Canis lupus familiaris: one gene and its partner. The protein of the gene in region 1 binds, or shares a complex with, the protein of each later gene. Links are inferred from orthologs where the notes say so. Each region holds a gene or a part of one and is shown in the gene's direction. Other genes may lie near its edges. The genes, in order: AP3M1 and LAMP1.

What was found.
Region 2: the proteins of AP3M1 (region 1) and LAMP1 are in contact, whole or in part, in a cryo-EM structure (PDB 9C5A), measured with the Homo sapiens proteins. The link is inferred for Canis lupus familiaris from reciprocal best matches to the Homo sapiens genes AP3M1 and LAMP1. Residues at the interface, in NP_001307192.1 of Homo sapiens: Glu178, Tyr180, Phe181, Asp182, Gln381, Val389, Asn390, Arg391, Leu392, Phe402, Lys403, Gly404, Val405, Lys406; in NP_005552.3 of Homo sapiens: Ser410, His411, Gly413, Tyr414, Gln415, Thr416, Ile417.

What each region holds. Positions count from the first base shown.
Region 1 is NC_049225.1:25,262,282-25,266,100, reverse strand, and holds part of AP3M1 (AP-3 complex subunit mu-1), read left to right. Parts: intron 1-1,210; 5' UTR 1,211-1,213; coding exon 1,214-1,486; intron 1,487-2,123; coding exon 2,124-2,295; intron 2,296-3,819. UniProt on the Homo sapiens protein: Part of the AP-3 complex, an adaptor-related complex which is not clathrin-associated. The complex is associated with the Golgi region as well as more peripheral structures.
Region 2 is NC_049243.1:60,834,123-60,838,041, forward strand, and holds the start of LAMP1 (lysosome-associated membrane glycoprotein 1), read left to right. Parts: upstream 1-1,349; 5' UTR 1,350-1,549; coding exon 1,550-1,601; intron 1,602-1,946; exon of another isoform or gene 1,947-2,058; intron 2,059-3,919. UniProt on the Homo sapiens protein: Lysosomal membrane glycoprotein which plays an important role in lysosome biogenesis, lysosomal pH regulation, autophagy and cholesterol homeostasis.

The sequences.
Region 1 (3,819 bases):
TTGGTGTCATTGTCTTCTGTGACAATGGAATTGAATGAATGCATTCTGGAAAGTCTTCCTTTCCTCTTTGTAATTTATCTTCATGCAGAGAAACTATTCGTTTTAAATTTTTTACAGTTGGAGTACACTTATACAATACTATAATTTCGAATTAGTGGACCACGGGACTAAACACCTGATAAGTGATGTTATCTACATAAAAGAAATGAACACATTAAGGTTATTAGATATTTTTCTACTATCCCCCATTTGCAAGGATAATAAAGTTTTTATTTGACATAAAGTTATACTCAGAAAATTGTATGTCACAATATAAAACCCAATGAATTATCAAAATGAATATAACTTATAACTATCATCTAGATCAAGAAATTAAACTTTATAAGCACCTTAGGAAATATCCCCCATCCCTTCTTAGTCACTGCCTCCCTCTCTCCTCCATAAAAGATGGCATTTGATTTCTTAAATCATAGATTAATTTTGTCTGTTCTAGCACCACATATAAATAGAATCATACTTATGTATCCTTTTGCATCTGGCTTGTTTGTTCAATATTGTATTTGTAAGATTCATCCGTATTTGCTTAATTTAACAATAGGTTATTTGTTTTCATTGCTATATAATGTTTCATTTTAATAATATACTATAGTTTATTTTTCCATAGTACTATTAATAAATATTTGAGTTGTTCCAGGTTTTCACTACAACATTACATTTTTATGTGTGTTTTTGGTGCACATTTTTACACATTTATGTTTAATCCACCTGGAAGTAGATTTGTGTGTCATAGTAAGAATATTTTGTAAGTGAAATATAATTCACGTATTATAAAACCCACCATTTTAAAGTGTTTCTTTTTCTAGTTTAAGTCATTTTATTATAAGCAAGTGCTAGACTTTATCAAATGATTTTCCTACACATTTTGAAATGATTATATGTTTTGTCTTTTATGTATACTGTGTGTTACGTTGATTGATTTTCATATGTTGAACCAGTCTTCCATTCTTGGAATAAATCCCATTTGTCAAGGTGTGTAATCTGTATATGTTGCTGGATTTAGTTTGTTGGTATTTTGTCAAGGATTTTTATAACTATTCTTACATGATGCTGGTCTATAGTTTCTTGTATTGCCTTTGTCTGGTTTGGGTATCAGAATAGTACAAGGATACTTTTTGATGTACACTAAATTTAAACTTTTTCCCCCCCCTAGAAAATGATCCACAGTCTATTTCTCATAAACTGTTCCGGTGACATATTTCTAGAGAAGCACTGGAAGAGCGTTGTGAGCCAGTCTGTCTGTGATTATTTCTTTGAAGCTCAAGAGAAAGCTGCTGATGTTGAAAATGTACCACCTGTCATTTCAACACCTCATCACTACCTCATCAGTATCTACAGGGATAAGCTCTTCTTTGTGTCTGTCATACAGACTGAAGTGCCACCTCTCTTTGTAATTGAGTTCCTACATCGAGTTGCTGACACTTTTCAGGTTGGTTACTCATCAAATCTTTTGAATTTAAGTTAAAGTTAGTTGGGGGTGAGATAAATGATTATATTCTCTAAGTAATCAGCTTTGGATGTATCCTGTTTCTTCTTTTCAACTAAGAATAAATTCATAAACCCTTTCTTTGTAGGGTGTATAGCAGTATACATGGCTGTTCCATTCACTATTTCAGTAGAACACCGTAATCTCATGGTCATGGAAGCCATATTTTTTATATGTATTACAAATTGTGTCATCAGGAAACAGTAATGCCCTCCACATACAGTTCTCTGAATGGCCCCAAGATTTTTATTGGTTATGTAATCGTCTTAATATTTACATTTTATTATCTTGCTAAATGTACCAAATAATTGAAAACTTATCTATGTTTTAGGGGTACCCAATCAGAGTAAATTAATAGTTCACATCCTAGTTTAATGTTTCAATGTAATGGAAATTCAATTCAATCTGAAGATATTGAGAAATAGCGTATAGAACTATAGAGGCTTTTTTTCTAATTTACATATTTCAACATCTTAAACAATTAATTATGCTACTGTAAGTTTATCCTTCTAAACAAAGAATGTTTAGCAAGCCTTTCTCCATGCCTTCCATTGTACAATATTATGTACATTTTGTTAAGGACTACTTTGGTGAATGTTCGGAAGCTGCAATTAAGGATAATGTGGTCATTGTATATGAGCTCTTGGAAGAAATGTTAGACAATGGATTTCCACTGGCTACTGAATCTAATATTTTGAAAGAACTGATTAAACCACCAACAATTCTACGTTCTGTCGTCAACTCTATTACAGGTAAGGTGAAAATGTGCTGCCTTAGGAACTAAGCAATTAACACTTTATAAACAACTCCTTGTTGCCTGATCTGGCAAATAATTAAGGTAGTTCAGTTTGGCCAGAGTTAAAGTTAGTAGTATTGTTGAAATGAATGTGTATTTCTTTTCATGAGGAGACTAGGTCTTAAATGATAAAGAAAACTTGATAATTACTCTTTTATTATAGGCTTTTCTATAAGACCACAATAACATTGTTACTATTACTTAACACTAAATAATAAGACTGATTAAATTTTCCCAGTTAATCCTAGAGAAGCCAATATAGTGAGGCTATAAAAGGAAAGCCTATATGTGAAGCTACTTAGAACACTTAATCTATTTATAGACTGGCATTTTAATATTTAAATTAGCATTATTGTATATGATGTGATGAAGATGTTAACTAACAATATAGTGGGTTATAATTGTAGTATATAAGTGTATCAAATCATCATGTTGTATAGCTTAAACTTAACACGATGTTAAATGTCAATTATATCTCAATAAAACTGGGAGAAAAATTAAAATTATAAATAGCATTATAAAACTAGCATTATGTCGTTACCCCCAAATTACTAGGATATAGAAAATTTAAGACTCTCCACCACAGAGTACATATTATTTCCTCCAAGTCTTTGTTTTATACATGCAGAAGATTTATTAAAACAAAAAGATGGGAAATTAGTCTGTCAGTGAGATCTCATGCATTGTGACCTTGTACTTTGTTTTAAGCTTCTTTTTTTTTCTAAAGATGTTTATTTATTTACTCATGAATGACACAGAGAGGCAGAGGGAGAAGCAGGGAGCCTGATGCAGGGCTCCATCCCAGGACCCTGGGATCATGACCTGAACCAAAGGCAGATGCTCAACCACTGAGCCACCCAGGTGCTCCATGTTATAAGTTTGTAATTTTTATTTCTTGAATATAGCTAGAAATTAGGTACATCCAGATGACAGTATTTTTTGAGAGTGTTGAAGTCTTCTAGAGAAAGATTTCTGTGAAATGTTACATAACACACCAGCTCTGCTGTCTACCATTGTAAACCCCGCTCTAAGTGTACTGACCTAAAAAAATGGGACAAGAGAGGCCTATAAGAGGCCTTTATTCATCTTCTGTACAAAGCTGAGCATTAGGAGAAATTCAAGGAAAGATAAGATAGAATGTATGCACCTAAAACTTAGACTCTGGATGGGAGATTAGAAAAAAATTAAAGTATGTAAATAATAATATAACATTGTAAAAGGCAACTCCATACTTTATAAACAATACAGTGACATTGGAAAGTACACATGATATAATACTAAATGGAAAAAATACCAACATAAAACTATAAAAGTTTCTGTTAATTACACAAACATTCCTACAGACAAAAAAGTTCTAAAATATTTTCAATGACCGTCTCCAACTAAGGAACAACATACTATCTTTATTTTTGCTTAATACTTTCTAATTTCTAAAATAAACATGTATTTTATAGTTACTAAAATAGAGAATGAAAATACA
Region 2 (3,919 bases), on another chromosome or scaffold:
CCACATAGCAGATGCCAGTCGGGAGGTGGCACGGACCCAGCTGTGACCCCGAGTGCACACGGAGCGCCCCGCGTCCTGGCAGGCCCTGCGCTGGCAAACCTCCCCAGGCCGGCGACCGCCAGCCAGTCCTCGGGCAAAGGCGACACGACGGGCAACTGCACTGAAACAGAAATAGAAGCAAACGCCCGGGCCTGTGTGATAAACGGGCAAAGGAAATGGGACGCCCTGGACGGCCGCTGGGTCACGGGGCAGGAACTGTAAGGTGCCCTGAGCACCGACACCGTGTGTACCGCCCATTATTTCCGTGACTGTCCGCCTTCGGAGTCCTGAAGCACATTCCAGTCCCAGCATCACAGGCCGCATTCTCACCTCCCTCTTCTCCTTTGTCACTTCTTTCTTCACGGGGAGAAACCTGCGAATTACTACTATTTGCACAACAGCAATACACGCACAAGGAGTTTAGGGGCTGCTCGCTGCCAGCCAGCCCCGCGGACATGGGGAAAGAGAACCGAGCTCTAGCACCGGCCCTGCCCGCCCCCACTGCAGAGCCAGCAGGAGTCTGCGGCCGGGAAGCCGCACCGTGTACTCGGAGCAAGTGGACGTGACACTTGCGGGGAATCGAGCACCGATCGGGAGAGTGGCGGACAGCGGCCCCCAGGTCTGCGCTGGACACAACCAGAGACACCTCCCAGGGGCCGAGCCGCGACGCGCGGACAAGAGCAGGAGGGAGGAAGACGGGGAAGAGGAAAAGGGGAAGGGGGGAGGAAGGAGGGGCGCCGTGACCCTCGCGGCTGCCACGGCTGGAGGTGGCCGAGGCCGGGGACCGTGTCGGAAGCCCAGACCCGGGGAGCCTCCAGGCACGCCGCGCGCGGAGAGGGCTTCGGGGCCCCGGAGCCACTGCTGCCCCCCGGCCCGCCCCGCCCCGGCCCGCCCCGGTCACCGCAGCCCCCGGGGCCCCGCCCAGCTTATCTCGCGAGCACGCACGTCCGGGTCCGGGCCGCCCCCTCGCAGCCGCAGCCACACTCGCCGCGGGTCGGCCGCCCAGGGCGGCCCCAGGTGGGCCTCGCTGCGTCCCCGGGGCGGCTTCTCCGGCTGCAGGCCTCGGCGCGCCCGTCTCCTCCTCCCGCCAACGCCCGGGAGCCGCCGAGGGACCCTCCCTCGCACCCGCCTCCCGCGCCGACGTCCAGGTCCAATCTCCCCGCCCCCTCCCAGGCTGAGAAGCCCGCCCGGCGTCACGTGGCCCCGCGGTCACGTGCCTCCGGGTCACGTGAGAGGCGAGCGCTCGCCTCGGCGGAGACGTCGTGCCCTGTGCTCTCGCGAGGCTCGCGGGGTCACGTGACAGCGCGGGCGCGGCGCGGCCTCACGTGACGGGCGCCGCCGGCCGAAGGCTCTCCTTCCTGCCGCGGGTGCCGCAGCGGCCGGGTGTCTGGACCGCGGGACGCTCGCCCTCACGCAGCCCCCGGCCCGCCCGCCCGCCCGCCCGCCGTCCCCCGGTCAAACCGCCCCGACGCGCTCGGCTCCCGCTCCGGCCTCGACAGCCCTCGCGCCCATGGCGGCCTTCGGTGGTGCCCGGCCGCGGCCTCTGCTCCTGCTGCTGCTCGGTGAGGGGCCGGGGTCGGCGGGGCGGGAGCTCCGGGGCGGCGGGGCCGGGGCCGGGGCCGGGGCCGGGGCGGCAGAGGTGGCGCCCGGGGTCTGGCGCGGAGCCCTCGGGCCCTGCTGGAAGCGCCGGGGCGAGCTGTCAGCCGGGGGCCGCTTCCGTGGTCGGGCCCCTGGGCCGGCTTCTGGGTGATGAGTCGGAAAATCAGTGGTTGGTGGATTTCGGGGCAGCCGTGGCTCAGTCTCGGGCCGCGTGGTGCGTGCGCCCTCCCGGGTGGCCTGCGCGGATGCTCGGATGCTCGGACGCCCGGACGCCCCGCGCGGGGGGCGCTCCCCCGAGGCAGGGGCGCGGATTCGCATCGCCGCGCATCCCCGCCCGGCCCCGGCCTCTCGGCTCCGGCGTTTCCCGGTCGCTGGGTGGGTTCGGGTGCCACGGTTTTGTCTTGCCCCTGCCCGTGTAAGGTCAGCTTTTTGAACCGCGTGAGGAGCCACGAGGGACGGGGACCTTAACTCGGGCAGTCAACCCCGAGCTTTGCCCTTCCCCGGCGGCTGTAATGGTTTAGAGGAGCAACGGCTCGAGCAAGTGTCAGGTCGGGACGGCAGCACTGTCCGCACTAGAATTCGCAAAGGATCCTCGTAGGTTAGGTTTTAAGACTCGCCTTCAGAATGAGGAGTAACGGGCCTCATTTCCTGCATCGTGATAGCTGGGAGTAGTGTGCGTGTTGGAAGCTTTTTGATGCCCGTTTCTTTGGGAGGATTTTTTAGGTTTTACAGTCCGATGAAATCCAGCTTTTAGAAAAGATTTTAAATTTGGGTGTAGGGAGCAGCCCCGGGGGCGCAGCGGTTTGGCGCCTGCCTTTGGCCCAGGGCATGATGCTGGAGACCCGGGATGGAGCCTGCTTCTCCCTCTGCCTGTGTGTCTCTGCCTCTCTCTCTGTGTGTGTCTCATGAATAAATAAAATCTTTAAAAAAAATTTTTTTTTGGATGTAGGCCTTTTAAAAATAATGTTTATTTTGATTCTTTATTTTACCAAGAAGCATCTTTCCTAAAAACAAATTTTTTCGAACATGAAAACTATTAATCTTACCTGCATTAATAATTGGCTAACTCTCAAAGCTTAGTTTGTGTTGGACTATTTGGTAGAAAGCATAGGCGAGAGTGAACTGAAATTGGCCAGCCTTTAGGATTAAGTGTCATTGCGTAATGTGACCCTTTAAACCACTGGTGTCGACTAGATGATTTCCTTCCCCTTTCCAAATGAAGAACTGTCACTTAGGATGTTTGGAAAGTTTTATTCTGTTTAGTATTATTCATGATTGCGGGACCTTTGTCAGTTACTTGGATTGGTCCCCAAATTCTTAACTATATTTGAGGTCAAAACATTTGGGGTCCAAGATTTTGAACTTCTGTTGTTAGGCGCTCCCTTTTCTCTGCATCCATGGGACTTGACTGCATGCATATGTGGCTTGAGCTTTTACTGGAGCATCATTTCAGTTGTGCCGTGATAACCTGTACACAGGTCTCCCTCCCTTATCTTACAGCCCATCCTGTGCACATACATAGTAAGTGCTCAGTGTGTACATGTAAATGCCCAGTTTGACAGCAACAATCCCTAATCAGATATGCATACATCAGCTCCTTAAAAGTGTCCACACTGAGCCCTGCTTCTAAAGGTTGTGTTTCCATGTGAGGGATGAACTTTGGTCTTTTTTTGTTGTTCTTCTACCTTTAAATTTTCGTAGATGATTATGTATTACCGTTTAAGATGAAAAATACTGGATTTAAAAGAAGCCAAGACAAACTAGGAAGTATTTTTGAAAAAAAAAATTCTTTGAAGATTTTATTCATTTATTTGAGAGAGAGCATACACGAGCAAGGTGAAGGAGCAGAGGGAGAGGAAGAAGCAGACTCCACACCAAGCAGGGAATCCAATGCAGGACTTGATCCCAGGACCCTGGAATCATGACCTGAGCCAAAGGCAGACTGAGCCACCCAGGAGCCCCCTCTTATAAAAATTTTAATGTAGAAGTTTATCGACTCGTTCCTTTAGATGGCAGTCTCTTCATTTCAAAGTGAGTCTTTCATAATTCGAAGTATGTTTGCTCACTCAGCAAGTGTTAGAAAGCACGGTTCAGATGTGTCATCCAATCCCAGATTGCTCAGCACCACTCACTGGCTTTGTGACCTTGAGCAAGTTAACATTCCTGTCCGTCCCTTCGTCTCCACAGCTGCACAAAGGAATCATAATAGCATTGACCTGTGGAGGTCGTCATGATAATTTAGTTAACTACAAAGTGCTTGGAGCAGGACCTGGCACATAGC